Linked DNA regions of Oryctolagus cuniculus. The protein of the gene in region 1 interacts with the protein of each later gene in a biochemical or structural test. Links are inferred from orthologs where the notes say so. Each region holds a gene or a part of one and is shown in the gene's direction. Other genes may lie near its edges. The genes, in order: UBC, BIRC3, TOM1, ANKRD13B, ZFAND2B, PLAA and AP2S1.

Region 1 (4,024 bases):
GCTGGCCATCACCAGGGTCTCCCGCTAGCTTGGGTTCCTGCTCTGCATTTTAACCCCCCGGGCCCGGGCATTCCTTGTTTGGGGGTTTAAGGGGTGGAAAAGTCCTCTAACAATGCTCAGGTAGATCTTCCCAGATCCACACAGCCGCAGGTTACCACAGCAACCACACAGCGGTTGTTCTGCCGGGGCTTCTCGGTGACATGACACTTGTAAAACGGTCTTCCCCTCTAAGGAGGGGCTGTGGTCCCGCCTCCGCCCCATCGTGGCAATGGAACATTCTAGAAGAGTCGCACAGCACAGCGTGGGGAGGGGGGGACTCGGGGCACGAGGGGGCAAATCCACCGCTAACGTTTAAGAGCCTCCAGCTCACCTGCTGGTCGACGCCACGATTCTCCCAAACACCAGGACACGACCCCGTGGCTGACCGTGCCCCTCCCCCTTGTGATCACAACGCGAGGTGCGCGTTTCATGCATCGGATCCCGGAAACACAGAGCGCAGCTTCGGTTCGCGTCCGTAAAAAGGCCCAGGTTAAAGCCCGGGCCGCACCAGGCGCCTCCGGCGGCGGCTTCCGGGGAGAGCCTGGGCGGCCGCGACCAGCCGCAACCAGCCAGCGCTGTCGGGGTCCGCCGTGGCTCCCCGCGGGTCTGCGCGCCGGCGGCCCGGGGCCGGGGCCGGGGCCGCGGAGGCGAGGGCAGGATGTGTCCAATCACCGGCCCGGCCCCCCACGAGACCACGGCGGTCACCTCAAACGCGACCCCACAGAAAGCCCCCTCGAGGTCACGGGCCGGGGGGACAGAGCGGGCCGCGCGCGGGGAGGCCCGGATGTGCCCAGTCACGGCCCGGCCCCCACGAGACCACGGCGGTCACCTCAGACGCGACCCCACAGAAAGCCCCCTAGAGGTCACGGGCCGTGGACACAGTGGGCCGCGGAGGCGAGGCCCGGATGTGCCCAGTCACGGCCCGGCCCCGACGAGACCACCGCGGTCACCTCAGACGCGACCCCACAGAAAGCCCCTCGAGGTCGCGGGCCGGGGACAGAGCGGGCCGCGCGCGGGGAGGGGGCGCCGGGCCGGAACCCCCGCGGGCCGCCCACCGACGGGCCGCTGCGGCCGAGGGGACGGGGCGCGGGGCGGAGCCGAAGCCCCCGGCCGCCCGCCCGCTCCGGGCGCCGCCCGGCTCCGCGCCGGGTCTTCCCGCCGCCCGCGCGCCGGCTCCCCTCCCCCAGGGCGGGCGCCCGCACGTCGGCCGCAGCACGCAGCAAACGCCCTGATCCCTCCGCCGGGCCCCTCAGGGCGGCGGCCCCTCCCCTCCCGGGCCCGGCGGTACCGCCCCGGGCTCGACCCGAGAACGTTTTGTGAGGGGGCCGACGGCCCCGGGCGCAGGGTTCCTTCCCGGAGGGCGGAAGAGGCTGAGGAAAGTAGTTCCTTCTCGGCGTTTCTGCGGAGGGATCTCGCCGGGGCGGCGGCTCGCCGTCGGACTATATAAGCGGGCGCCGGGCGCGGCGCAGCCAGTTCCGTCGGAGCCGGAGTTCGGTCGCCTTCATCCTGCGTACAGCTGCCGCCGCCGCCGCCGCCGCCGCCGCCGCCTGGTGAGTGGACCTCGTCGTGCTGGCCGGGGTGGGGGCGGCCCGCGGCCTCTCGGCCGTGAGGGAGGAGGGCGGTGCGGCTGCCCGCCGCGGGCGGGACGCCCTCCCGGGCGGGTAGTCGGCTGGGGTCGCCCCGCAGGCGGAAGAACCGACAAGATGGCGGCGCCGCCGAGCCGGGAGGTCAGGGTGCAGGGCGGACAGGGGCCGGAGAGCGCCGAGCGCCGCGAGGGTCTGAGGAGCGGAAGGCGGCGTCGCCGGGCCGCGTTTGGAGACGTGGGGGAGCGGTGTGGCGGGGCTGACGGGCAGCGCTGGGCCCCGGTTAGGGGCTGGGGAGTAGGGAGGCGCCTCGGCGCGGGGCTGCTCCAGCGGGTGGGGGGCGGCTCGCGCCGTGACGTCACCCGCGTGTTGGCACACAGAGCAGGGCGGGGCTGCCTCCCGGTGTGGGTGGCGTCGGTTTCTGTCAGTTGCAAGACACACGGTTAGGGCCTAGGCGAGATCCTGCTGAGTGGACGGGAACGCGAGCCGGAAGGGGGGAGGGACGGAAAAGCCCTGAGTTCACTGGTCACGTTTCCCTGCTTTCTTCATAACGAAGGGTCTGAGGCTGGGGTTTTGAAGTAATTTTTCAGGTTTGTGTTTGGTGTCCTTTGGAGTTCCTAAGCAAGTTATTAATTTTAATAGTGTAGATAAATAGACGATATTCAGTCTTTAGGAATATTAGTGAATTGTTTGCTGAATTTTTTTTTGTTTCTTTTTGTGTGTTTTCTCATAACAGACAATGCAGATCTTCGTGAAAACCTTAACTGGCAAGACCATCACCCTCGAGGTGGAGCCCAGTGACACCATCGAGAATGTCAAGGCAAAGATCCAGGACAAGGAGGGCATCCCCCCTGACCAGCAGAGGCTGATCTTTGCCGGCAAGCAGCTGGAAGACGGCCGCACCCTGTCCGACTACAACATCCAGAAGGAGTCCACCCTGCACCTGGTGCTGCGCCTCAGAGGTGGCATGCAGATCTTCGTGAAGACCCTGACCGGCAAGACCATCACCCTCGAGGTGGAGCCCAGTGACACCATCGAGAACGTCAAGGCGAAGATCCAGGACAAGGAGGGCATCCCCCCCGACCAGCAGAGGCTGATCTTTGCCGGCAAGCAGCTGGAAGACGGCCGCACCCTGTCCGACTACAACATCCAGAAGGAGTCCACCCTGCACCTGGTGCTGCGCCTCAGAGGTGGCATGCAGATCTTCGTGAAGACCCTGACCGGCAAGACCATCACCCTCGAGGTGGAGCCCAGTGACACCATCGAGAACGTCAAGGCGAAGATCCAGGACAAGGAGGGCATCCCCCCCGACCAGCAGAGGCTGATCTTTGCCGGCAAGCAGCTGGAAGACGGCCGCACCCTGTCCGACTACAACATCCAGAAGGAGTCCACCCTGCACCTGGTGCTGCGCCTCAGAGGTGGCATGCAGATCTTCGTGAAGACCCTGACCGGCAAGACCATCACCCTCGAGGTGGAGCCCAGTGACACCATCGAGAACGTCAAGGCGAAGATCCAGGACAAGGAGGGCATCCCCCCCGACCAGCAGAGGCTGATCTTTGCCGGCAAGCAGCTGGAAGACGGCCGCACCCTGTCCGACTACAACATCCAGAAGGAGTCCACCCTGCACCTGGTGCTGCGCCTCAGAGGTGGCATGCAGATCTTCGTGAAGACCCTGACCGGCAAGACCATCACCCTCGAGGTGGAGCCCAGTGACACCATCGAGAACGTCAAGGCGAAGATCCAGGACAAGGAGGGCATCCCCCCCGACCAGCAGAGGCTGATCTTTGCCGGCAAGCAGCTGGAAGATGGCCGCACCCTGTCCGACTACAACATCCAGAAGGAGTCCACCCTGCACCTGGTGCTGCGCCTCAGAGGTGGCATGCAGATCTTCGTGAAGACCCTGACCGGCAAGACCATCACCCTCGAGGTGGAGCCCAGTGACACCATCGAGAACGTCAAGGCGAAGATCCAGGACAAGGAGGGCATCCCCCCCGACCAGCAGAGGCTGATCTTTGCCGGCAAGCAGCTGGAAGACGGCCGCACCCTGTCCGACTACAACATCCAGAAGGAGTCCACCCTGCACCTGGTGCTGCGCCTCAGAGGTGGCATGCAGATCTTCGTGAAGACCCTGACCGGCAAGACCATCACCCTCGAGGTGGAGCCCAGTGACACCATCGAGAACGTCAAGGCGAAGATCCAGGACAAGGAGGGCATCCCCCCCGACCAGCAGAGGCTGATCTTTGCCGGCAAGCAGCTGGAAGATGGCCGCACCCTGTCCGACTACAACATCCAGAAGGAGTCCACCCTGCACCTGGTGCTGCGCCTCAGAGGTGGCATGCAGATCTTCGTGAAGACCCTGACCGGCAAGACCATCACCCTCGAGGTGGAGCCCAGTGACACCA
Region 2 (3,253 bases), on another chromosome or scaffold:
CACAATAAACTATATGATAATTAATAAATATAGATCCATGAGTCATATTATAAAGAGATCATAACATTATTATCTCAAAATACAGGTTTTTTTAACCATTAGAAAATCTAGATCTCAAAGGGAATGAGATGATCCTGTAAGACAAGAAGGTAGTCATTGACAAAGGGGGTTATTTCTCAAAATATTAGTGCCATTTCCTCCTTATCATAAAATAGGTAGTGACAATATGCCGAATTTGGGGAAATGATTAAACTTTCAACTTAATGTGAAATATTGAAGACATTTTATGGAAGAATGATATTTTAAGAAAAAATTATCTTGATTTTACCTTTCCCCTTTTGACTAGATTGAATTGAAATTTCAGTTTTATTAGACTCTAACTTTTATTGGGTTAGGGTTTAGCATAATTGCAGAATGGTCAAAAGCAGGTGTTGTGACACTGGACTGCCTCAGTGTGACCTCTACTACTTGTGTGTCCTTTGACAACTTATATTTTTTGTATTGTTGTTGAAGATTTATTGGGGCCAGCACTGTGGCGGAGCGTGTAAAGCTACCGCTTGCTACATCAGCATCCTTATGGGTGCCAGTTCAAGTCCCGGCTGCTCCACTCCAATCCTGCTCCCTGCTAATGTGCCTAGGAAAACAGCAGAAGGTGGCCCAAGTCCTTGGGCCCCTGCACCTGGAAGATCTGGAAGAGGCTCCTGGCTCCTGGCTTTGGTCTGGCCCAGCCCTGGCCACTGTGGCTGTTTGGGGAGTGAAGCAGCAAATGGAAAATCTCTCTCTCTCCCTCTGTCTCTGTAACTTAAAGAGATTTATTTATTTATTTGAAAAGCAGAGTTACAGAGAGAGGGAGAGAGATCTTCCAACTGCTGGTTCACTCCCCAAGTGGCTACAACAGCCAGTACTAAGCCAGGAGCCAGGTTCTTCATCTAGTGTATGGCTGGAGTCCAAGGACTTGGGCCATCCATCTGTCCTTGCTTTTCCCAGGCCATTAGCATGAAACTGGATCAGAAGTGGAGCAGCTGGGACATGCCCTGGCACCCATATGGGGTACTGGTATTATAGGTGGCAGCTTTACCCGCTGCACTACAATGCCAGCCCCAGTAACTTATTTGCCTCACTGTGACTGCGTTTTCCCAATGTGTTAAAATGAGGCATATACCTCAAAAGGCTGTTGTAAAGATGAAATGTGTTAACACATGTAAAGTGCTTAGTCAGTGTTCAGGTTAGAACTTATAATCAGCATTATTATTAGACACAGGGGATCAGCTACCCCCAAGCCTAGCAAGGAACATCAGTGCCTATCTGACTGTGAATTAAAGGTGGATTTCATTCAGTTACATTCAAGCATGGGAGGAAGTCTGTGAGCAAAGTTTAAGCATGTTTGTTGTTTTCTTCTTTTATTAAGATGATCTGTCGTTAATTCGGAGGAATAGAATGGCACTTTTTCAACATTTGACTTGTGTGATACCAATCCTGGACAGTCTTCTAACTTCTGGAGTGATTAATAAGCAAGAACATGCTGTTATTAAACAGAAAACACAAACATCTTTACAAGCCAGAGAACTCATTGATATTATTTTAGTAAAAGGAAATATTGCAGCCACCGTATTCAAAGATTGTTTACAAGAAACTGACCCTGTGTTATACAAGCATTTATTTGGTGAGTGCTAAAAAATTATTTCTGGGAATTTTCTATATCAACTGAAAGTAGTCTTTCACTAATAATTTATGATTATTAAAATTATTTGACAATTCAATTTAATTTATAAACATTAATTGTATAACAGATTGATAACTGTGTTACCTTGATATTATTCATATTTTTGCTCCAAAACTAAACTGTTCATTTAAAAATATATTCTAGAGATAATATTGGCTTCATCATTGTAATGATTTTTCTTTTTCCCTCCTTAGTGCAACAGGACATAAAGTACATTCCCACGGAAGATGTTTCAGGTAATAGCATTAACACTTTAAAGTCAGTAGAAAACATTGCTTTTATTTTCTTGGTTTTTTTTTTTGTTGTTGTTGTTGTTGGAAGAGAAGCAAATAACTGTTAAAAATTCTTTTCTTCTCTTAGATTTACCAATGGAAGAACAATTGCGGAGATTACAAGAAGAAAGAACATGTAAAGTGTGTATGGACAAAGAAGTGTCCATTGTGTTTATTCCTTGTGGTCACCTAGTTGTATGCAAAGATTGTGCCCCTTCTCTAAGAAAATGTCCTATTTGTAGGGGTACAATCAAGGGTACAGTTCGCACATTTCTTTCATAAAGAAGATTGAAACTTTGATATACTTTAGAATTAATGGATTAAATGTATCATAGTGTTTACTTTTACACTGATTTGATAGTGATTTTGATGTAAATGTTTTATTACAATTCAGAAAACTTTTTGTAGAAATATGCCTACATAAATATGTATCTAGAACATGTGGCCATGCATATTTTAGATAACAAGACAATAATAGGCTTTTGTTCTTATGAACAAAAAATAGGGACAACATTATAAATAAAATACTCAGTGAAAACTGCAGCATTACTGAAATTATAAGTGAAGCAACATTTAAGATATTGGAGTTTTATCTTTCAAAATTTTAAATATCTTGGGCTTTTGTTGAATATTAACAGGAATTCCTTGCATTTTTTATGTATAAGTCAGCATCCTATACATAGAAAGTCTTGATATTTGTTGAATGATTCTTTTTAGGAACATGGTGGGTTTTTTTTTTTTTTTTTTTTGAGGAATTCCATGAGGAACAGTTTATTAAAGCAATAGAAATTACTCTCTACCTTTATTTCACCCGCAGACCTCTTCCATACTTCCATACTTCCCTAAGACCTCCTCAGGGCTGAGCCCCAGCTTAGGTCCCTTCCTATAAGATGTTTCTTCATTTATAATGGTACAGCATAAAGATCAACACACCTGGCTTTCATCTGTAGCATTTTATGGGATGCCTGAGACAAAAATCAAACCATCTCCTCAGTAAATTTGTTCATTTTTCTATTGATTCATTCCGGAAGTCTCTCGCCATCCCTACCCATGGGGAAAAGCCCCTCATCTTACTCTCACCACTTGAGTATTTATTCTGGAACTTAGTAGCCCTTGGCACCAATAGCTTGTCCTGGTGAGGAAGTGTGTTCTGTTTTGTTAGGACGGCAACATTGCCTCCCTTACATAGCTTCATGGATACTCAACATGTCCAACACATATTTCTCTATCCTTTGTTCCCTCTAGAGGTATTAGGACT
Region 3 (3,795 bases), on another chromosome or scaffold:
GTGAGGACTTCAGGGAAGAATGGCGCGATTGCAGCGAGCCCCGGGCCACGGCCGTCAGGGATGCACGATTTCGGGGACTGAGAAGGCAGAGTTGACAGGCGACAACTGCCAGTCCCCACCAGGTTGGGGAGTGCTGTGGCTGGGACGTGGCAGAGCTGGGATTCCCACCCGGAGCCCTGGCTCCAAGGGCTGTCCTGCACTTGAAAGGGGCCGGCAAGGAAGTGCAAACAACCACAAGTGGTCAGGGAGGAAGGAAGGGGAGGCCCTGCCCTGCCCCGCCCTGTGCAGAAGGCAGGCCTCCCTGAGGATGCTGGGTAACGGAGCTGCAGGAACCACAGTGAGCAGTCCTGCTGACAGGTAACCAGGGGAAAGACACTCAGTCCAGAAAATCGGAATCCCCTGGCTCTCGATAAATGTCTTTTTTTTTTTTTTTAAAGTCATCAGCGACATGGTGACTAATGTGTGTGGGATCGTGGGACAGAAATGGACATGGAAGAGGAACTGGTGGCACGCAGATACGGTCTGCAGCTTGGTCAGCAGAACTGTGCCGGGGGGCCAGGAACTCCGTCTGTGTCTCTCACGTGGGTGGCAGGACCCTAGTCACTTAAGCCATGACCGCCGCCTCCCAGGGTCTGCAATAGCAGGAAGCTGGAGGCAGGAATCCATTGCAGGCCCTCTTACCCGACTCAGGACGCAGGCACCTCACCCACAAGCCCAAATGCCCCCATCATGGTTTTGACAAATGCCAGCCTGGGTGAAGGGTGTACGGGAACTCTCTGTACCATCTCTGAGTCGAAAATTATCCCACAGGACAAATGTCATCAAAAAAGGAAACAGTAGTAAGGCACAGCTTTGAAGCTGGGGTTTGTGGGCAGTAGTTGGTTTTCTGTGCTTTGGATCCAAAACACCGCAGGGCAGCAGAAAAGCTGCAGACGGCTCAGCCAGCCCACCTCGGAGTCTCAGCATCTTCAGCTTGCGAAGACAGGGGCAGGGGCACAACCCTGAGGTCTGTACACAGCCAGCAGCGCCGTTTAACGAGTATTCGATTTTAGTGTAGACCCCTTGGACGGGAAATTCCAGTTCATGCCTGCCAAACCCCAGAAGCTGTGCCAATGGGACCTCGAAGTCCAGCTTGGGAGCCTCTCCCTCCGCCAAGGCAGGCCTGGGGCCTGGAGCCTGGGCTGCCACAAGTGCGCATGGCCGTGGTCGGCTCACTTCCCTCCTCCGCAGGAGCTGAACCGCACATGCCGGGCCATGCAGCAGCGGGTCCTGGAGCTCATCCCCCGGATCTCCAACGAGCAGCTGACGGAGGAGCTGCTGATCGTCAACGACAACCTCAACAACGTGTTCCTGCGCCACGAACGGTAGCCCCGCCCCGGCCCCGCCCCACCCCCAGCCTGGGTCTCCTTTGCAGAGTCCGCCCTGGGACAGCAGCAGGTGGTGGCCTAGAGCGGGGCCCCGCAGCCAGGCCGGCCGTGCTGTTCTTGCAGGCACCGCACCTCCTGGCCGTGGGCCCCCAGGAAAGTCACCTGACTGCTTCGTGACCGCCAGCCGCCAGAGCCCCACAGGGATCAGTGAGGAGCACAGTGGGTAGTGGTCGGAACCCAGTCGGAGGCGGTTAGAGCCGTGATGCCTCGGCACAAGCAGGCAGCACAGGCCCCCGGCCGCTCAGTGGTCCCGGGTGCAGACACACCTGCCCCATGTCCCCAGGGAGCCGTTATCAGTGAGTGGGTCACCTCCAAACACTTGTCCACCGGGTGTCTTCCTGTCCCCAAGACCCTCGCCAGCTGGCTGGGCTGTGTTGTGCTCACCTGTTGGGAGAGGGAAGGTGGCCCCTCCGGGGCACTCCCAGAAGCATCACGTCCAACAGGGAGAGCTGCCTCCCCGGAGCCCTCGGCTGCTGGGCCTGTAAACAGCGCGCCCAAGGCCGCTGAGGGTCCAGGAAACAATGCTGTCTGCTGCGTGATGCCGCTCGTCTCTGGCATCTTCATCCCTCAGCAGACGCCACTGCGCGGTTCTAAGTCCCAGTGTGGGGCCCCTGCTCGGCTCACCTGCCCGGCCGCTCCTGCTCCTTGGCTCAGCAGAAGGAAAGGGCCCCCTCCCTGCCCTGCCAGGGTGTGGCTGTGTCTGGGGCAGCTGGTCCCCCAACACCCACAGCCATCAGCCGCACCCGTGCAGTGCTTCCCATGGGCTCTGTCTTCACTTGCTCCTCATCACAGCTGGGAGGCGGCTGACGGGACACTAACGTCACAAGTGATGTGACACACCCATGCACAGAGCCGCACCTTGAGCAAACCCAGATTCTCAGCCCAGCTCCCCAGCCCCCTGGCCCTTAAGTGGCTCCACACAGTAGGGTCTTCTGTGCAGCACTCAGGGAGCCACACACTCACACTCACTCACACACACGCACAGATGGGCACACACCGCTGTACCGTGTGCCAAGCACTCCTATTTTCTGTTCTGCTGTATTGCCATTGGCGTCACACTCACCGTGATTAGGGCTGTAGAACAATCTAAACTGGGACACTTTGCAAGTACCAGAGGGACACTGTGCGTAAGTCCTGGGAACAGCGGGCGCCGGCTGGATCTGTCCAGAGTAGAGCCGGATGTTGCATCACCCTGACCGTGACCCCCAACCCTGATGCTGAGACCCTCAATTGGGGAGCTGTGCCGGGGCCGTCCTGGGGGACCCGTTTCCGTCTGTCCCGCTGACTCGGGTCTTTCCTGTCTCGTAGATTTGAGCGGTTCCGAACAGGCCAGACTGCCAAGGTAAAGGCCCTTTTCCGTGCCTGGGTGATGGCAGGTGAGCAGGAGCAGGAGGGCGCTCCCCGCCTCCCTCCCCGGCATCCTCCGCAGGCTGGGGCTGCCTGAGGAAGCAGAGGGGCTGTTCTCACGGGCGCGCCACTGCCCCTTGTGGGCCAGTAAGGCTGCGCCACCAGCTCACAGCCAAGGGTCTTTCCAACCTCCCTGGGGCCCAGCTGAGCTGGAAGTGGGGGAGGGAAACCTCCTGCCCCCAGCCACAGCCACGGGGGACTAAGCCGTGGGGAAGAAAGCCCGCGGGAGGGAGAGGGGGAGGATGACGGGGCGCCTCCCTCCCCCAGGCCCCCAGCGAGGCTGAGCCAGCCGCAGACCTGATCGACATGGGCCCCGAGCCTGCAGCCACCAGCAGCCTGTCATCGCAGCTGGCGGGAATGAGTGAGTGCGGTGTGCAGGGCGCCTGCCGAGGTGGGATGGTGGGGCTGTGGGCGCCCTGCTGCTCCCCACCTGCAGCGGAACATCTGTTAGCGTGCTCCTGACAGATGTAAGCGATACTCGCCCCTGTTGCCCAGGTTGGCTTCAGGTACTGCCTGCCGGCCTCGTGCTGAGCCCTGGGGGTCCTTAGGACCCCATCTTGAGTGGGCTGCCACACTAACAGCATGCCTTTTGAGAAGTCCCTCCCTCTAGCGACAGTGGGCGGCCTTGTCCCTGTTCCCTACTCACAAGAGCCCAGGAGGGAGTGACTGTGTCTCCCCCTTAGAGATGCGTGAGGGAGAGGAAGAGGAGGGTGGCCTGGGCCCCTGGCCAGCAGACGTCCTGCCCCCTCCGTGCCCTCTCTGGCCTGCCTCCTGGCCTGTGTGCTCCTGCAGCACCAGGCCCGGGCTTGGCAGGAGGATACAGGAACAGCGGACAGATCCTTCACGCGGCCTTTCTGCCCCACAGACCTGGGCTCCAGCAGTGTGCGGGCGGGCCTGCAGTCTCTGGAGGCCTCGGGCCGGCTGGAGGACGAGTTTGACATGTTTGCACTGACCCGGGGCA
Region 4 (4,455 bases), on another chromosome or scaffold:
TAAAGATGCATCCCTCCCCGCACGCGTGCAGCTTCCATCTGGAGGGGAGAGAACGCGGCAGTGACCACTGAGCCTGTGTTTGCTGATACCTCCATGTCACGCGCCCCGTGCACTCCCACCGTGTTTCTGGGCTACCGGAGGCGTGTGTACCCGGAGCGCATGCTTAAAACATATTCAGGGGCTGGGAAAATCTTTCTTCTGGGGCTTCAAACGGAGAAGCAGGCGAGGACCGTGGGAGGGGACAGGAGCCGAAGTGCGGGCCACACGTGGGCGCACCCCCGCACTGAGCATGCTCCCCCACGCACGTGTGCCCGGCGTGCACCCAGCCCCCATCCCTGCAGCAGCAGCAGGGCCCTGGGATTGTGGGGGAGAGCAGGGGTGTCCAGGGCCAGGCCTGGGGGCCAGATCCGCGGTGACAGTTAAAGGGAGGGTTTCTCAGGCATCAGGGACTCCTGCTCAGTAACAAGTTAGGAGAAGGGGGAGTCCTTGCGCAGGGGTGCCCGAGTCGGTCGCTGTACCCAGAAGTACCCTGTGGGTGGGCAGGCCCCTTCCCTAGGGCAAACAAGTAATGCTCATGAGTCACACCACCCGAAATACACGCAGAGCTGCCTCCATCGCCTTTCGCCGCAGCCCAGATTGACAAGTTTTGTTTGAAATAGCGATCCACGGGATATATTTATAATCGCACCTTTAAAAAAAAAATCCCTGGCAGGCCTCCCCTCCCCCCAACAGTCAGCCGCTCAGCTGGTGGGGCTTCTGCACGCTTAGATTCCTCGCAAAGTGTATTGGGGGCGGGGGTACCACCGCCGCCCCCGCGCTGCGCCCGCACCCAGGAGCCCGTGAGCTTGGAGGCTCCAGACGGGGGAAGGGAGCAGTGGCCTGGCAGCCGGTACCGGGCGCGCAGCCCACGAGCGGCGACCGCCCGTTCACCCCCGATCGACCCCCAGCTATGGAATTTCATTTATTAAACGTCGAGGCGGCTGCTGGCAGCCCTGCCGCTCGGCTGGCTTTGTTTCTCCGCTGTGTGGGCGCGTCTCGAGCACGTGGCCGCCGCAACGCTCGGGCCGAGGGGAAGGCGACCTGGGTGGAGTGTTCAGGGCCGCCTGGCAGGGAGAGCCGGCTGCCCGGGCACGGACCCTCCGAGCCCGGGAGCTGCCCGCCCCCGGGAAGGAAGGGCGATTCGCTCCGCTCCCCCATCCCCAGGATGCCCTGGGGACAACCTGGGAGTGGCCCTGGCGCGGACGCGGCGTCCACAAACTTTGTCCCTGAAGCCCCAGCCCTGTGACGGCGAGGCTTCCGGGCTCAGGGAGATAAAAGCGCTTCTGGGTTTCCCTGTGGAGATGTCACTACCCCCACGAAGCAGGTTAGCTGAAGGAGAATCACACACAAGGTTCTAAGGACAATTTAATGAGGAAATGTGCAGGCATTTCTCGCGGTCGCTCCTAGACAGACGCCCCTCCTTTCCGGAGCCCCCTCCCCAACGCCGGCCGCAGCCACGACCCTCTGCTGACCCCTGGTGGTGGAGGCGGGCAGCGCCCGCGCGCTGCAGCGACGCCCGCTGGCTCCTCCCCGGCTGGAGCGAGGGGCGAGGCGGCGCGCTCCGCCCTCGTCCCTTCCCGCCCGGGCCTGGCACCACCGCAGGGTGTGCAGCAGGCAGGAGAGACCACACAAAGGAACCTGAGCGAGGCGCAGGGAGTTTGCAAGCTTTTGCTGGCACCTCCCACACAAAACACTTCTTGGATCGTCGTTCCGAGAAGGGCTGCGGTGGAATCCCTTATCCCTCGCCTTGCTCGAAGGTGGGCTCGGGAAAGCGCCGAGCCTCAGTCCGCCTGGTGGGGGTGGGGGTGGTGGGGAGGCGCCTATTCCAGGGCAATTACTGTCCTCAGCTCACCCCCACGACGTGGTACCCACAGGCTCACTTTAGAGGTGAGTGCATCGAGAAACAGAGAATTCAGGCCGTTTGCTTAAGGGCAGACGGTGGGCAAGGAGGTATTGGGATTTCGGTATCTGTGACATCATGGTCCCTCCTTCCAGTCCTTCCTGCCCTCGCAACTGGTGGCTCGGGAGGCAGATTCCACTCTTACCACGCCCTCTGCAGGGGCCGTTCTGGAAATACCTCTGCGCCCGGTCTCTGGGACCAGGGGCGGAGGTGGGCAGCTGCCACCTGCTGCTTCCTCTGCCCAGCCTCACTCTGGCTCCTGTGGAGGCCAGGGTGTGGAGGGAAGGCTGTGTTCTCCCGGCCAAATGGGACATTCTCTTTTCCGTGCCGTCCGTAAAGACGGAGTTGGATTTTCTAAGAAGAGGGGGAAGACGCCTAGGAAACACTCCAGGTGCCAGGTCCCTGGCTGCTCCATGTCCCGCACGCCTTCTCGGGAGTCCCCATCAGGCACCCGCTACTGGGAATCCGGATCTCTTTCTACAGCCCCTGGGACCAAGCTCAGTTATGAAGGCCACACCGCACCCCCCCCCCCCGCCCCCAGGCACGTTCCAGGGAGGCCTGTGGCAGAAAGCCAGCGAGCGGGGGTGCGCCCCAGCCCACCTGGAGTCCGGGCTCCGCCTCCGTTCTGGCCGGGCCTACCTCTTGGCTCACCCTTATGGGATCAGGGCCACCCAGTGCGGGACCCTCTCCCGACACCTGCCACCCTCAGTTCCGCCAGGCGGACTACAAGTCCCATGATGCCACGGGGCCTAGCTGTAACCCTCTCTGCCGGGGGCACTCGGATCCCCACTCTCTCCCCCGCATCCCCGCGTCCCTGGCCGGCCGCTCAGGCTGAGGGCCGGGCTATGCGGCTGCGGGGAGCCGGGTGCTGCGGGCGCGCGTCCCTGCGGCGGCGGCGTCCCCGGGGCCCGCACCCCGTGCGCCCCCGCTGCGGGTGCCTGCTCTCTCCGCGGAGCCGAGTCTTTGTGTGTGGGGGTGTGGGAGGCGAGGCGCCACTCCGCGCCGCGCCGCCGAGTGCCCGCTCCCTCCCCGGGCGGGTGGGGGCCTCGCAGCGCCGCCCGCCGTCGCCGCCGCCTCGCGAGGACGCCCGCCGCCCGCGCCGCCCGCACCGCCTGCACCGCGCCGGGCGCGCCGCCCCCGCCCGCCGCCGCCGCTCGCACATGCCCGAGCCGCAGCCCTGCGAGCAGGCAGCGCCCGCCGCCCGCCCCGCGGCCCCGGGCCCCGGCTGCGGCGCCGTCCCCCCTCCCGGGCCGGGCGCGGCGGCCCCGGCATGAGGAGCGGGCGATGATCCCCGCCAACGCCTCCGCCAGGAAGGGGCCCGAGGGCAAGTACCCGTTGCACTACCTCGTGTGGCACAACCGCCACCGCGAGCTAGAGAAGGAGGTCCGCGCCGGCCAGGTAAGAGCGCCGTCGGGGCGCCGGGGACCCCGCGGCCCGGCACGCCCGTCCGGCGTGGGGCAGGGGCGCGGCGCGGGCTGTCCCGCCTCTCGGCCGAGTTAGCGGCGCCTCTTTGTTTGCAGCCGTGGCTTTTGTGCTGGTTGACTGGGAGCGGCCCCTACCCGCTCCCACCGGCCCGGACGCGGGCGGCCCGCACGTGTTCCCCACCCTCCGGGAGCCGGGCTAGGGTCGCCGTGCCCCCTCCTGGGCCAGGGCAGTGAGGGCTGCAGGGAGGGGCGGCCCGCTTGGTGTGTGTGTTCCCTGTGGTGGGAGGGTCCGCCCCACTCCGTCGAGCCGCGACACCTCCCGCGTGAGCGTGCGGAGGTGGGAAAGGCCCGCAGGTCGAGGATTGGGGGCCAGGCTGTGACACTCCCGGGCATCCCGGCCCCACCCAGTGCCCTTTCCCTGCGTGGTGAGCGCTTCCTCCGGCCCTTTAGCGCAGAGCCCCTGGATCCCTCAGCCCCCAGCCCGGGGAGAGAGGCACTCTCTCCACGAGTCCCCGAAGGGGCCTTGTCCAGGTGCTGAAAGGCGCTCTCCTGGCGGCTGGTGCTGAGGAGGCGGGGGTGGGGGGTGGGGGCCCCGGCCGCAGGCAGGACTGGCGGTTCTGCAGGGTGAGATCGCGGTGGGGCCGGGTGGGTCAGCCAGCTTCAGGGAGCAGGGAAAGGTGGAGTCTCTTGGCTATTCTTCAGCACGAAGGCAAGCCCAGGTCACAGACTGTGCCCAGTTCTGTCCTTGGCACCCAGGCCACAGGTAGGCACCCATGGCACAGGTGACCCACCCTGCAGGGAGGGCAGCAGGAGCCACAGCTGGGCCCAGTCTGCTGCAGGGTGAGACCTCCCGACTTGGGCTGGGAGTGGGTAGCTCCGAGTTGCTACCCACTGAGGGCCAACCCAGCAGCCGGCTTCCCAAGGGAAGCAGGGAGGTGGAGGTTCACCCCCTAGTACCCAGGCCAGGGGCCTCATGCAGTCTCCCTAAACGTGGGCTGGGCTGGGCTGGGCTGGGCTGGGCATCCACCCCCTTCCTCCTGCCTCTGCTGAGCCGGGGCTCCCCAGACCCGCTCTGCTTACCCTTCAGAAAGG
Region 5 (4,255 bases), on another chromosome or scaffold:
CCCAAGTCCTTGGGCTCCTGCACCAGCATGGGAGACCCAGAAGAAGCTCCTGGCTCCTGGCTCCTGGCTTCAGATCAGCGCAGCTCCAGTCGTTGCGGTTACCTGGGGTGAGAACCAGCGGATAGAAGAACTCTCTCTCTGTCTCTACCTCTCTCTCTAACTCTGTCTTTCAAATAAATGAAATAAATCTTTAAAGAAAGAAAAGAGCTTCTTAAAAAAAAAAAAAAGAACACATTAAGAACACAAATTCTCTTGGCCTTGATTCCTAATTCCCAGGAAAGAATATGATTGGGCAAATGCAGCAGTTGCACCTGGGGCCCTGTGCCGCATCTGCCAGGCCCATCTCTGACTTCAGCTACTGCTTCAGGCTTCTTCTCTTATTAAGACCAGACCTCTTGTTCTTTTTAATAGGCCCAGTGTTTGCTCAGGCCCAGTGTTTGCATCTCAGGGTTTTCCTTAAAGCTTCTGTAGCGCAGACTACTTGCACAAAGGTGCATCTGGCACAGTGCAGGGCTTGGCCCATGACCCCATCAAGGCAACTGGGTACAGTCAGAGCTGGGACGAACCTGCTTGAGGAACCAGGAGACAGGCTTTAGAGTTGTGACTGTGTAAGAAGCAGACACAGAGGGAACAAGAGCCAAGAGTTGGAGATGGACGGAGAGACAGAAAGAGGGGGAGAAGGGTTCCTCATCTCCAGCTGTGGCCTGGCTTCCCTCTCCATTCTGGAGGACACTGTTCAACTCCGAGCTCATTTCACCTGGTTACTCGTCCCCATCGGCAGACTCACGGGGAGACGGAGCGTGACCAACCCTGGGCAGAAGGGACCTCAGACATACGAGAGGTAAAATGTGCTGAGCCTAGAAGGCCTCAACCCAGAGCTACTTAGGGTAAAGCAGGAGGACTCTCACTCCTAATCCAAGAAACACTAAGCACTGAGAATATTCTAGATTTTTTTAATTCAAAGTATGGCATATGCGCAACTTGTCTGGATTCCCTCAGGTGCTTTTACTGTATGAGGAGCCCAAGAGCCCCGGAATCTGCATTTTAAGTTGAGCCCGTAGGTAATCTGAATTCGCACTGGAGTCTGAGAACCACACTGCTCAAGGCACTGCCGGGATCCAACAGAGCAAGGTGGATGCGTGGATGCTGTCCCGGCATTCCAAGGGTATTCATGCATGTGTATGTGCGCACGTGCCTGTCAGCAGACTACTATAATGAGGTTAATATGCGTGCTGGAATAGCCACAGGGAGGTCGCCTAGCAGGTGCACCTCGTCCAGACAGGAGATTCGGGAAGTCTCACAGGAAGCGCCTCAAAGCTGAAATCTGGAGGCACCTGCACTGCAGAGAAACATGGGGAGTTGTCAGCCCGTAGACGGTAAACGCAGCTTTGGCTGTCAACGAAGAAAAATGACCAGAAGATGCACAGAGAGGGGAGGGGGCAGAGAGAGAAGCGGGCCAAAGACCGAATTGTAAAAGACTCCAAACCATCTCATTTCCTCCGACCCTAAGATTTCACCTGCGCTGGACTTCGTCAGCCCCTTCGCCCATCCCTCAGGCCTCAGGGAGACCTTCCGCGGAGCTGAGCCCGCGCCTAGGACTGCGGAGCCGCCACTCCCGCCGCCTCAGCGCTGCAGCGCCCCGCCCAGCGGAGCCAGGAGGGGCGGGGCGCGGCTCCGCCGGGACCGCCCCCTGAGGGGGCCTGGATACGGCGCAGGGCGCGCCCGCTTTGCGTGGTGACGTCAGAGCGCCCGGGCTGGCGCCGAGGGAGGAGTGGGAGCCGAGAGCCGGCAGGCGCTGAGACTCCGGTAACCCGGGCTGGGCGGGGGAGAGGAAGGGGCGGGGCGGGGCGCCCCTCGGAGTGTGGAGTCGTGGTCGGACCCGGAACGGGAGCCCTAGAGACGCTCAGGACTCGCCGCTTCTCCCAGCAGGCTCCTGTCCGGCCCGGCGATGGAGTTTCCGGACCTCGGGGCTCACTGTTCCGAGCCAAGCTGTCAGCGCTTGGGTGAGGGCAGGGCAGGGCGGGAGAGGGCTTGGAACTGCAGGTGGAGCGAGACGGGTGGGCTCCGGGGCTGGAAGTACCAGGAAAGGGCGGGGCGCGAAGCCGGGGGCGGTGGCCGAGGGGGCGTGGCTAAGGAGATCGATCGTGGAGTCACGCAGGGTGCAGCGTGGGGCGCACCGGCGGTGTTTTCCTTCCCTGGCGAGGGCAGGACACCGAGGTCCCGCCGGGCCTGCAGTCTGACCCCCTCCCTGCAGATTTCCTGCCGCTCAAGTGCGATGCCTGCTCGGGCATCTTCTGCGCAGACCATGTGGCCTACGCCCAGCATCACTGTGCATCTGCTTACCAAAAGGTGAGGGGGCGATCCCGAGGGTGGAAGGGGGCGGATGGAGCGTGCACGCACAGCCCCCCGAGTCCGCTTGCCTCGCGCGTCCTCTCCGTGTTCTCCTTCCTAAGGCTCAGTCAGTGCTGGGGAATATTGTGTCTTCTTGTGCATTTGTCTGGGGGCATGTCCAGGTGCTTTCGGGACGAGGGAGTTGTTGCGCTGATTCCCACCCCCTTGACTGTAGGATATCCAGGTACCGGTATGCCCACTCTGTAACGTGCCGGTGCCTGTGGCCAGAGGGGAGGCCCCCGACCGCGCCGTGGGGGAGCACATTGACAGAGACTGTCGCTCGGATCCGGCACAGCAGAAACGGAAGGTGAGCGGGTGGGGGGGGGGGCGACCCTGCTGGGACGCCTGCGCGGCGGACTTCTGTAATGCGGGTGGGGTCTGAGCAGAGACAGAGTTTCCCCTTCCCCTCAGATCTTCACCAATAAGTGTGAGCGCCCCGGCTGCCGCCAGCGGGAGATGATGAAGCTGACCTGCGAGCGCTGTGGCCGAAACTTCTGCATCAAACACCGGCACCCACTGGACCATGACTGCTCTGCGGAGGGGCGCCCGACCAGCCGGGCAGGGTAACGGCCACCAAGTCCTCTATTTGCCTGTGGCACTGTCTCATCCTTTTAGAACAGACTCAGCCTCTGTCATTGCAAATTAGGAACCTTCAACCCTGTCCCCAGTGGCTGGGGGGGGTGTCTTTTAGCTTCCGGTGCATGTTTGTCCAGGCTGCAGAGCAAGTCCCTCCCTCCCCTGCCCCTGGGGGAAGCTCCTTCTTGGAGGTTTGCCAAGAGCGTCTCTTCCCTACAGACTGGCCGCCATCTCCAGGGCACAGGGCCTGGCCGCTTCTGCCAGCACCGTCCCCAGCCCGAGCCAGACCTGGCCTTCCTCTACTCCCAGCAGGTAGGCCCGCCCATTTCTCCTCCCCTCCCTTTCCCCTTCTCATCTCTGATCTCAGCCTCTTGAATGTCTGCCATAGAGCCACAACCCAGTCTCCATCCCGGACAGCCCCTCCAGTGGTTGCTTTGCAGAATGGCTTGGTGAGTTGGGCAGAGGTTGGATGGACAGGAGTCCCATGCAGTGCTTCAGCCCTAAGGAAACTGGTCTTGTCTCTCCCTTCGCAGAGTGAGGATGAGGCTCTGCAACGAGCCTTGGCATTGTCCCTGGCAGAGACCAAACCCCAGGTCCCCAGGTACCTCCTCTCTGCTGAAAGAGGGTGGGCCGTGGGCAAGGGCTGTTTGGAGGGAGGTGGGGCCGCTCTGACCCGATGCCAGGTCATAGTTAGGACACGAATACCCACCGTGTGAGGCTGCTATGGGGATGGAGAGGGTACCCAGAAGGGCTCAGCACTGTGGCGCTTGACATGAATTTTAGATGTCACTGTTCCTCGTCCCAGTTCTCAGGAGGAGGAAGACCTGGCTTTAGCACAGGCACTGTCAGCCAGTGAGGCAGAGTACCAGCGGCAGCAGGTGTGAGCCGGGGTGCAGATGGGGTCCTGCCCTGGAGGGAGGCAGAGGGGTGTGGGTGTGGGTGTGGGTGGCGCATGTGTGTGCTTGGGGGAGGGGGAGGGGGTCTTCTAAGGGGCGGTGGTTCTCCTTTTGCTTTCAGTGTGCCTCCAGCCCATGCTGAGCTCTGAACTGAGGGCTGTCCCCTCATCTCCTTGACTTCGCACCCTGTCTTCCCTTCTTCCCCTCTCCTTGCTCCAGGCGCAGAGCCGCAGCTTGAAGCCATCCAACTGCAGCCTGTGCTAGGGCCCTGGGCTTGGGGAGGGAGGCTCAGCTGAGGAGGACTGTGGCCCTCACATCTCTAGGGTACACAGGGAGAGGAGGCCCCGAGCGGCCTGGAGTGCACAGATAAGCAGGAGTGACAGATGGCCTCC
Region 6 (3,795 bases), on another chromosome or scaffold:
TGAGCTGTTATTTGACTTTTTACACTTTGCTAACATTCACATTTAAGGTACAAAGGCAAAGTAAACAAAACTGTTGCCTCTTTGGCATGCAGGTCAATGCAGTGGCACTGAATTGTTCTAGTACTTACTGTGTTCTTCACTGACATGCAGTTGTGTTTTTAAAAACACTGCCATTTGCCCTGAAGAAAGTCTTTGATGAAGCATTAAAACTTGCTTTATTCCTTCTTGACACTTTAATATACATCTTTCTTTCTAATATTCAGTGCAGCAAAATGTGAAATACACTGTGCCTTCTCAAAGAAAACCGTGTGTTTGGTCATTTGAGTTGCAGGCTGAAGTATAACTTTTTAAATGAAATACCCCTTTTTTTTTTTTTTTTAATTTTTGACAGAGTGGACAGTGAGAGAGACAGAGAGAAAGGTCTTCCTTTTGCCATTGGTTCACCCCCCAATGGCCGCCCCGGCCGGTGCGCTGCGGCTGGCGCATCGCGCTGATCCGAAGGCAGGAGCCAGGTGCTTCTCCTGGTCTCCCATGGGGTGCAGGGCCCAAGTACTTGGGCCATCCTCCACTGCACTTCCGGGCCACAGCAGAGAGCTGGCCTGGAAGAAGGGCAACCGGGACAGAATCCGGCACCCCAACTGGGACTAGAACCCGGTGTGCCGGCGCCGCAAGGCGGAGGATTAGCCTATTGAGCCGTGGCGCCGGCGAAATACCATTTTTATTTGAAAGACTGACTAGGATTATTCAGGCTTCGGTATCTCGTAGACATTTTTTCAAAATTATGAAAGTGAGCTTGTCACTTTAAGGAATATAACTGACAGTATTTGTTGCCAAAGATAAAATTCAAGCTTTCAAGTGTAAATTGGAAATTTAGAAAATTTGTATGTGCCACCAGAAGCTTGATAGCTTCCCAATGTTTGATGATTATAGTGATAATATTAACAAATGCAGTTTTTCATATCGAATAATAAAATGTGTAAATATGGAAATCTGCATGAGTCAGTGAATTGGTATTTTCTTATATTTTTAAAAAATTTTTACTTATTTATTTGAAGGCGAGTTAGAGAGGGAGCAACAGAGAAAGAGGTCTGCCATCTGCTGGTTTACTCCCCAAATGGCCACAACGGCCAGGGCTGGGCCAGACCGGAGCCAGGTGCCAGGAGTTCTTTTAGGTTTCCCACATGGGTGCAGGAGCCCAAGCAATTGAGTCATCTCTGCTGCTTTCCCAGGCACATTAGCAGGGAGCTGGATTAGAAGTGGAGCAGCCAGGACTGGAATCAGTGACCATATCGGATGTTGGCGCTGCCGCAGCGACTGAACTCACTGTGCCACAATAATGGTCGCCCAAAATGGTTTTCCAAATGACCGGCATATTGTTACAGACTCATACATGGGCAAAAGATAAGTAGTAGAGCATTAAAAAAATCCACTGATGTAGTTGCAGATTCTAAATCTTGTAACCCCCCCCATCCACATTTTCTGAAAAAAGCTATGTAATTCTCTTTTGAAGTCCATAGCTGTGTGTTGGATTTACTTTAACCAAACCAAAAAGTTGCCCCAGATTGAGACAAGGTATAAGAGATTAGGGGATGATGGACTAGGCCAGAACTGACATACTATGCTCGCCTCGTTCCACTGGCCATGGCTGAGTAATGTGACATCAGTAGACTTCCAGTTCAAGGATCTGGGTAAAGTAGTCTCTAGTTAGACAGTCACTGGTCTCCCCTGTGGAAGAGGAACACAGCTGTCCCCGTAGAACGGCTTCCTCATCAGAGATGGGGAGAAAGTCGCAGCCATCAGCGGAGTGTTAGTGAGGGAAGGTAGCTAAGCTTTCTTCCAAAAGCCTTGCTGAGGTGACATTCGAGTAAAGTCAAGGAGACAAAGGAGCAAAACTTGTCAGCATCATGTGAAACTTGTCAGCATCATGTGAAAAATGTCACAGGCAAAATAAATAGGCAGTGTAAAGGCTTCATGGTTGACGTTGGGTGACGTGGGTGGGAGGAGGAGTAGAGGATGAGACCAGAGGGGATGGTAGGGACAGTTTATTTGGTCTAGTACACCACTGCAAGAATTTAGACTTTTGCCAAGAGATGAGAAGCCATCGAAGGGTTTTATGCCGAACAGTGTCAGACCCACTTAAACTTTTGAAAAAAATTTCTATGGTTGCTGGTTGAAGATATACCCTAGAGGGCCAAGAGCAGAATTTGGATGCCAATGCATCAATCTAACTGAAAGGGTGGGCTCCTAGCCTGTTGGTTAAGAGGCCCTTGTCCTTTATTGGAGTGCCTGGATTCGATACAGTCTCTGGCTCCTGACTCCAGCTTCCTGCCAGTGTTGATCCTGGGACACAGCAGTGATGGCTCAGCTAACTGGATCCTTGCCACCCAAATGGGAGACCTGGATTGAATTTCTAGCGTCTGGCTTCAGCCCCAGCCAGAGCTTGTTATAGGCATTTGGGGAGTGAACCAACAATTGAGAACTGTCTTCCTTTCTCTCTCTGCTTCTCAAATAAATAACAAAATATTTTTTAAGTTAATAGATATTTTTGAATTTTATTCTATCTTGATTTTTAAAATTTTTATTTTAAGGTACTAGAGAAGGACAGACTCGTCTCATCAGAGATGGGGAGAAAGTTGAAGCCTATCAGTGGAGTGTTAGTGAAGGAAGGTGGATAAAAATTGGTGATGTCGTTGGCTCATCTGGTGCTAATCAGCAAACATCTGGAAAAGTTTTATATGAAGGGAAAGTATGTTGATTTCTTTCTAATTATCATTATCTTAAATCATTAGCCAAGTTAAAGGTTTTCTCAATGCTGATACAGTGTTTTGCGGGGGGTTGTTAAAATTTAGAAATAAATTACTGTAGGAAAATTATCTTTTCCCCCTGTATTGAAAGGATTAACTAAAAGGATATCTTTCCATGTATAGAAAGCTGCATTTGATAAATAAAGTGGGCATTATCTTTTAGTAGTTCCCATACATAAGCAGTTCCCAGCCATTTAGGATTACGAATTCTATGCCACCCTTCATCTAATGCCTTGTGCCTGGCTGTATTTAATTTGATACAACATGATGGACACTGCAGAGCAGTACTTAAATGCCAGCGTGTTTAGGTGAGTAGGGCATAGTAACAGCTGATACTTTTGGCCTTGAGATCAACCAATTGGCAGCCCTCCTTTGGTTCTGGAATTAATATGTGGTCATAATTATCTTCCATTCCACTGCACCCCCCCTCCCCCACTGAAATACTACCTTGCAGCACATGTGAGTGGTCTCTGTTAGTCCTTATTTGCCAGAGAGTTTTTGGCATTGTACATTAAAGCAAGCTTAGTTACTGTAATTATTAAAATGAAAAACACATAATATTTGTTATATATGTATGTATGAGTTAATATGTATTAATATGTATGAAAAGAAATATGTGAAAAGATTAATTAGTAATCTTTTATCTCCTGACTATATTTCTGTTACAGGAATTTGATTATGTTTTCTCAATTGATGTCAATGAAGGTGGACCATCATATAAATTGCCATATAATACCAGTGATGATCCCTGGTTAACCGCATACAACTTCTTGCAGAAGAATGATTTGAATCCTATGTTTTTGGATCAGGTGGCTAAATTTATTATTGATAACACAAAAGGTCAAATGTTGGGACTTGGGAATACCAGTTTTTCAGATCCATTTACAGGTAAATTAATGTTTATATTAGGTCTTATGTACTTTTTTAAAAAATAATTTATTTACTTGAAAGATGTAGTTACAGACAGAGAGAGGTAGAGACAGAGAGCTCT
Region 7 (3,003 bases), on another chromosome or scaffold:
GGGGTGCCGCGGGGCCTGGGCGCCGCAGGGAGGTTGACCAGGGCAACGTGGGCCCATGGGCAGAAGCCAGGACCACTCAGGAGGGGGCTCCCCGGGGCGGGCAGACGGGTGGCAGGTACTGGTGACTGGCCCGGCACAGGCAAGGAGTATTTTGGAGGCAGAGCTGGGACCAGCTGTGGAGCTGTGGAGGAGAGAGGGGTGGGGGCAGCGGCGGGAAGGGGCTGTGGCTGGAGGCCGGAGGTGAGGAGGCTGAGATGGCCTGCGCTGCCTTCCTGGGCCCCGGTCCAGGAGGGACATAGGCCATCTCCGTACAGGGATAGCCGCCATGAGCAGGTACCTGACCCAGCCCAGGGGTCAGGGAGGGCTTCCTGGAGGAGGGGATGGAATCAGAACAAGAGAGAGTTGATCTCATCCCCCAACATACTCAGGAGAATCAGGGAGAAGAGACATTAAAAGAAAAGTTCCTCTTATGAGATGGAGACCCAGACAGGCTTCCTGGAAGAGGGGACTTGTGATGGAGAAGGAGGGATGAGATGGAGACCCGCCATGCACCCTTCCTGTGTGCACATCATAGGTGTTCCCTCATCCCCGCGTTAGTTCCCTGTGGCTGCTGTCACTGTTACCACGGTGACGGGGGCGGGGAGACAGACAGAATCTTCCATCTGCTGGTTCGCTCTTAAAATGCTTGCAGCAGCCAGGGCCGCACCGAGTCGGAGCCCGGAGCCCGGAACTCCATCCGGAGCTCCCCCATGAGTGGCCTGGCCCAGGCTCGGTTGCCGCGGCCATTAGGGGAGTGAATCAGCCGATGAAAACTGTCTCCCTCTTCCCCTCCTTCTGTCGCTCCGGCTTTCAAATAAATAAATCCTTTTTAGAGAGAGACTGGCACTCGGGGCCGCCACCAGATGGCGCCAGACGCACACCCTGGACCTGGAGCTGGAGATTTGTTTGATTTTTTTTTTTTTTTTTTTTTTTTTGCCGAAGGCTTTGTGTTTTTCAACGCCATAACGTCGCTATCTACGTCTGTCTCTCTATTTCCTTGCAAACACACACACGCCCGGGGCCAGGCGTGTTCTCTTGCCGGTTGTCCTGCTCCTGTTGTAATATTTACGCGGGTTACGGTTGAGCGAGGCCAGCGTCCTGGGCGGTGCCTGGCGCGCAGCGGGTGCTCAGGAGGTGTCTGTGGGCTGGGTGCTCAGGTGCCCTCCAGGCTCCGGAATCCGCCCCTCTCCAGAGGTGACAGGAAGCCACCGAGGGAGAGGAGCGGCTGGGCGGGAGTGTGGGGCGTGCCCTGAGCATGCACGCTGGCCGTCCCGCTGCCTGGACCCTCAGCCTCCCCGTGTCTCTGCGGGCGGCCTCTCCTTTAGGAAGCCCTCTGTGACTCGAAGTGTCCCGCACCCACCCCCAACCCCTCCCCGGGGATGCGTCCCTCCGGGGCCAGGCCCGCGGCCCAGGGCTGAGCCCGGGGAGCATGCGCAGGGGAGGGGCCGACAGCCTCTGACCGCGTCTCTGCCCGCAGTTCCGCAACTTCAAGATCATCTACCGGCGCTACGCCGGCCTCTACTTCTGCATCTGCGTGGACGTCAACGACAACAACCTGGCCTACCTGGAGGCCATCCACAACTTCGTGGAGGTGCGCGGGCCCCGCCTCCCGTCCCTGTCCGCGCCGCCCTGCCCACCGCGGTGCCCGTCCCTGTCCGCGGTGCCCGCCTCCCGTACCTGTCCGCGCCGCCCTGCCCGCCACCCTGCCCGCCTCCCGTCCCTGTCCACCGCGGTGCCCGCCTCCCGTCCCTGTCCGCGCCGCCCTGCCCGCCGCGGTGCCCGTCCCTGCCCACTGCGGTGCCCGCCTCCCGCGTCCTGCCTCGCGCGTCTCCCCGGCCCCTGTCCCTGAGCACGTCTTTCCCTCGCCGCCCCTGCAGGTCTTAAACGAGTATTTCCATAACGTCTGTGAACTGGACCTGGTGTTCAACTTCTACAAGGTAGGCCGGGTGCGCGCGCTCAGCTCTGGGGCGTCCGGCCGAGCCCCCGCTGCCCGGGAGGGGCCGGCCGCGGCGCCCCTCTCAGCGCTGGCCGTCTCCCCGCCAGGTCTACACGGTGGTGGACGAGATGTTCCTGGCGGGCGAGATCCGCGAGACGAGCCAGACCAAGGTGCTGAAGCAGCTGCTGATGCTGCAGTCGCTGGAGTGAGGCGCCGCCCCCGCCCGGAGGAAGGGGCCCCGCGGGGTCTGGGCGCCCCAGGGAGGAGACCACACCCCTGCCTCGGGGCCACCGCGTGCGTCCCGAGGAACCGTGCTGTTGTCGCGAGGCCGTGCTGTTGTCGTGAGGCCGTGCGTGTGCGTGTGTGTGTGCGCGAGTGCCTGGAGCCCTCAATAAACCTGTGGTCCCGCCCAGCCTCGCCTGCCTTCCCGGGGCTGCCCCAGCCTCTGCCGCGCCAGGGAGACGACGAGGGGTCTGGCGGTGCCCACAGAGCTGCGCCGTCCTCGCAGGCTCTGTTCCCCGCATGGGGAACCCTGGGGGTGCGGCGGCCGGAGCTGGGGCTGCGGGGTGCGGGGTCCAGCTGCGTCTCAACCACTGCCCCTGCTGCCCCGCCCCCCAGCCGAGCCTATGTCGGTGCCGGCGGTGATGAAGCGCCTGCAGAAGCCTTCATAACACACGTTCCTCGCGCGCTCCGCCAGGACCTCCATTGATGGATTTAAGATTGTACTTATTTATTTGAGAGGTAGAATTACAGACAGAGAGGGAGACACAGAGAGGTCTTCCATCCTCTGGTTCACACCCTAAATGGCCCCAACGGCCAGAGCTGCGCTGATCCGAATCCAGGAGCTTCCTCTGGGTCTCCCATGCAGGTGCAGGGGCCCAAGCACTTGGTCCATCCTCCACTGCTTTCCCAGGCCACAGCAGGGAGCTGGATGGGAAGTGGAGCAGCCGGGACTCGAACCAGCGCCCATATAGGATGCAGGCAGAGGCTTAGCCCACCGCAGCGCTGGCCCCCAAAGTAAGCTTTTA

Evidence for each region.
Region 2: the proteins of UBC (region 1) and BIRC3 form a complex in vitro, tested with the Homo sapiens proteins (3 studies listed by BioGRID, with this or other methods). The link is inferred for Oryctolagus cuniculus from reciprocal best matches to the Homo sapiens genes UBC and BIRC3.
Region 3: the proteins of UBC (region 1) and TOM1 form a complex in vitro, tested with the Homo sapiens proteins (9 studies listed by BioGRID, with this or other methods). The link is inferred for Oryctolagus cuniculus from reciprocal best matches to the Homo sapiens genes UBC and TOM1.
Region 4: the proteins of UBC (region 1) and ANKRD13B form a complex in vitro, tested with the Homo sapiens proteins (3 studies listed by BioGRID). The link is inferred for Oryctolagus cuniculus from reciprocal best matches to the Homo sapiens genes UBC and ANKRD13B.
Region 5: the proteins of UBC (region 1) and ZFAND2B form a complex in vitro, tested with the Homo sapiens proteins (3 studies listed by BioGRID). The link is inferred for Oryctolagus cuniculus from reciprocal best matches to the Homo sapiens genes UBC and ZFAND2B.
Region 6: the proteins of UBC (region 1) and PLAA form a complex in vitro, tested with the Homo sapiens proteins (2 studies listed by BioGRID, with this or other methods). The link is inferred for Oryctolagus cuniculus from reciprocal best matches to the Homo sapiens genes UBC and PLAA.
Region 7: the proteins of UBC (region 1) and AP2S1 form a complex in vitro, tested with the Homo sapiens proteins (2 studies listed by BioGRID). The link is inferred for Oryctolagus cuniculus from reciprocal best matches to the Homo sapiens genes UBC and AP2S1.

Annotation. Positions count from the first base shown.
Region 1 is NC_091452.1:5,126,993-5,131,016, forward strand, and holds the start of UBC (polyubiquitin-C), read left to right. Parts: upstream 1-1,224; 5' UTR 1,225-1,589; intron 1,590-2,043; exon of another isoform or gene 2,044-2,212; intron 2,213-2,358; 5' UTR 2,359-2,361; coding exon 2,362-4,024.
Region 2 is NC_091432.1:94,053,129-94,056,381, forward strand, and holds the end of BIRC3 (baculoviral IAP repeat-containing protein 3), read left to right. Parts: intron 1-1,408; coding exon 1,409-1,663; intron 1,664-1,917; coding exon 1,918-1,959; intron 1,960-2,083; coding exon 2,084-2,277; 3' UTR 2,278-2,538; downstream 2,539-3,253. UniProt on the Homo sapiens protein: Multi-functional protein which regulates not only caspases and apoptosis, but also modulates inflammatory signaling and immunity, mitogenic kinase signaling and cell proliferation, as well as cell invasion and metastasis.
Region 3 is NC_091442.1:112,916,820-112,920,614, forward strand, and holds part of TOM1 (target of Myb1 membrane trafficking protein), read left to right. Parts: intron 1-1,230; coding exon 1,231-1,364; intron 1,365-2,735; coding exon 2,736-2,769; intron 2,770-3,101; coding exon 3,102-3,195; intron 3,196-3,699; coding exon 3,700-3,795.
Region 4 is NC_091448.1:45,053,162-45,057,616, forward strand, and holds the start of ANKRD13B (ankyrin repeat domain-containing protein 13B), read left to right. Parts: upstream 1-1,400; 5' UTR 1,401-1,415; coding exon 1,416-1,796; intron 1,797-2,729; exon of another isoform or gene 2,730-3,223; coding exon of another isoform or gene 3,224-3,337; intron 3,338-4,455. UniProt on the Homo sapiens protein: Ubiquitin-binding protein that specifically recognizes and binds 'Lys-63'-linked ubiquitin. Does not bind 'Lys-48'-linked ubiquitin.
Region 5 is NC_091434.1:20,256,912-20,261,166, reverse strand, and holds the start of ZFAND2B (AN1-type zinc finger protein 2B), read left to right. Parts: upstream 1-1,262; 5' UTR 1,263-1,806; intron 1,807-1,926; 5' UTR 1,927-1,948; coding exon 1,949-2,003; intron 2,004-2,254; coding exon 2,255-2,349; intron 2,350-2,566; coding exon 2,567-2,698; intron 2,699-2,802; coding exon 2,803-2,954; intron 2,955-3,186; coding exon 3,187-3,279; intron 3,280-3,355; coding exon 3,356-3,416; intron 3,417-3,500; coding exon 3,501-3,568; intron 3,569-3,750; coding exon of another isoform or gene 3,751-3,772; coding exon 3,773-3,845; intron 3,846-3,984; coding exon of another isoform or gene 3,985-4,005; exon of another isoform or gene 4,006-4,082; coding exon of another isoform or gene 4,083-4,127; exon of another isoform or gene 4,128-4,186; coding exon 4,187-4,243; 3' UTR 4,244-4,255. UniProt on the Homo sapiens protein: Plays a role in protein homeostasis by regulating both the translocation and the ubiquitin-mediated proteasomal degradation of nascent proteins at the endoplasmic reticulum.
Region 6 is NC_091432.1:190,185,368-190,189,162, reverse strand, and holds part of PLAA (phospholipase A-2-activating protein), read left to right. Parts: intron 1-2,588; coding exon 2,589-2,746; intron 2,747-3,472; coding exon 3,473-3,692; intron 3,693-3,795. UniProt on the Homo sapiens protein: Plays a role in protein ubiquitination, sorting and degradation through its association with VCP. Involved in ubiquitin-mediated membrane proteins trafficking to late endosomes in an ESCRT-dependent manner, and hence plays a role in synaptic vesicle recycling.
Region 7 is NC_091449.1:10,588,158-10,591,160, forward strand, and holds the end of AP2S1 (AP-2 complex subunit sigma), read left to right. Parts: intron 1-1,516; coding exon 1,517-1,630; intron 1,631-1,916; coding exon 1,917-1,976; intron 1,977-2,082; coding exon 2,083-2,184; 3' UTR 2,185-2,387; downstream 2,388-3,003. UniProt on the Homo sapiens protein: Component of the adaptor protein complex 2 (AP-2). Adaptor protein complexes function in protein transport via transport vesicles in different membrane traffic pathways.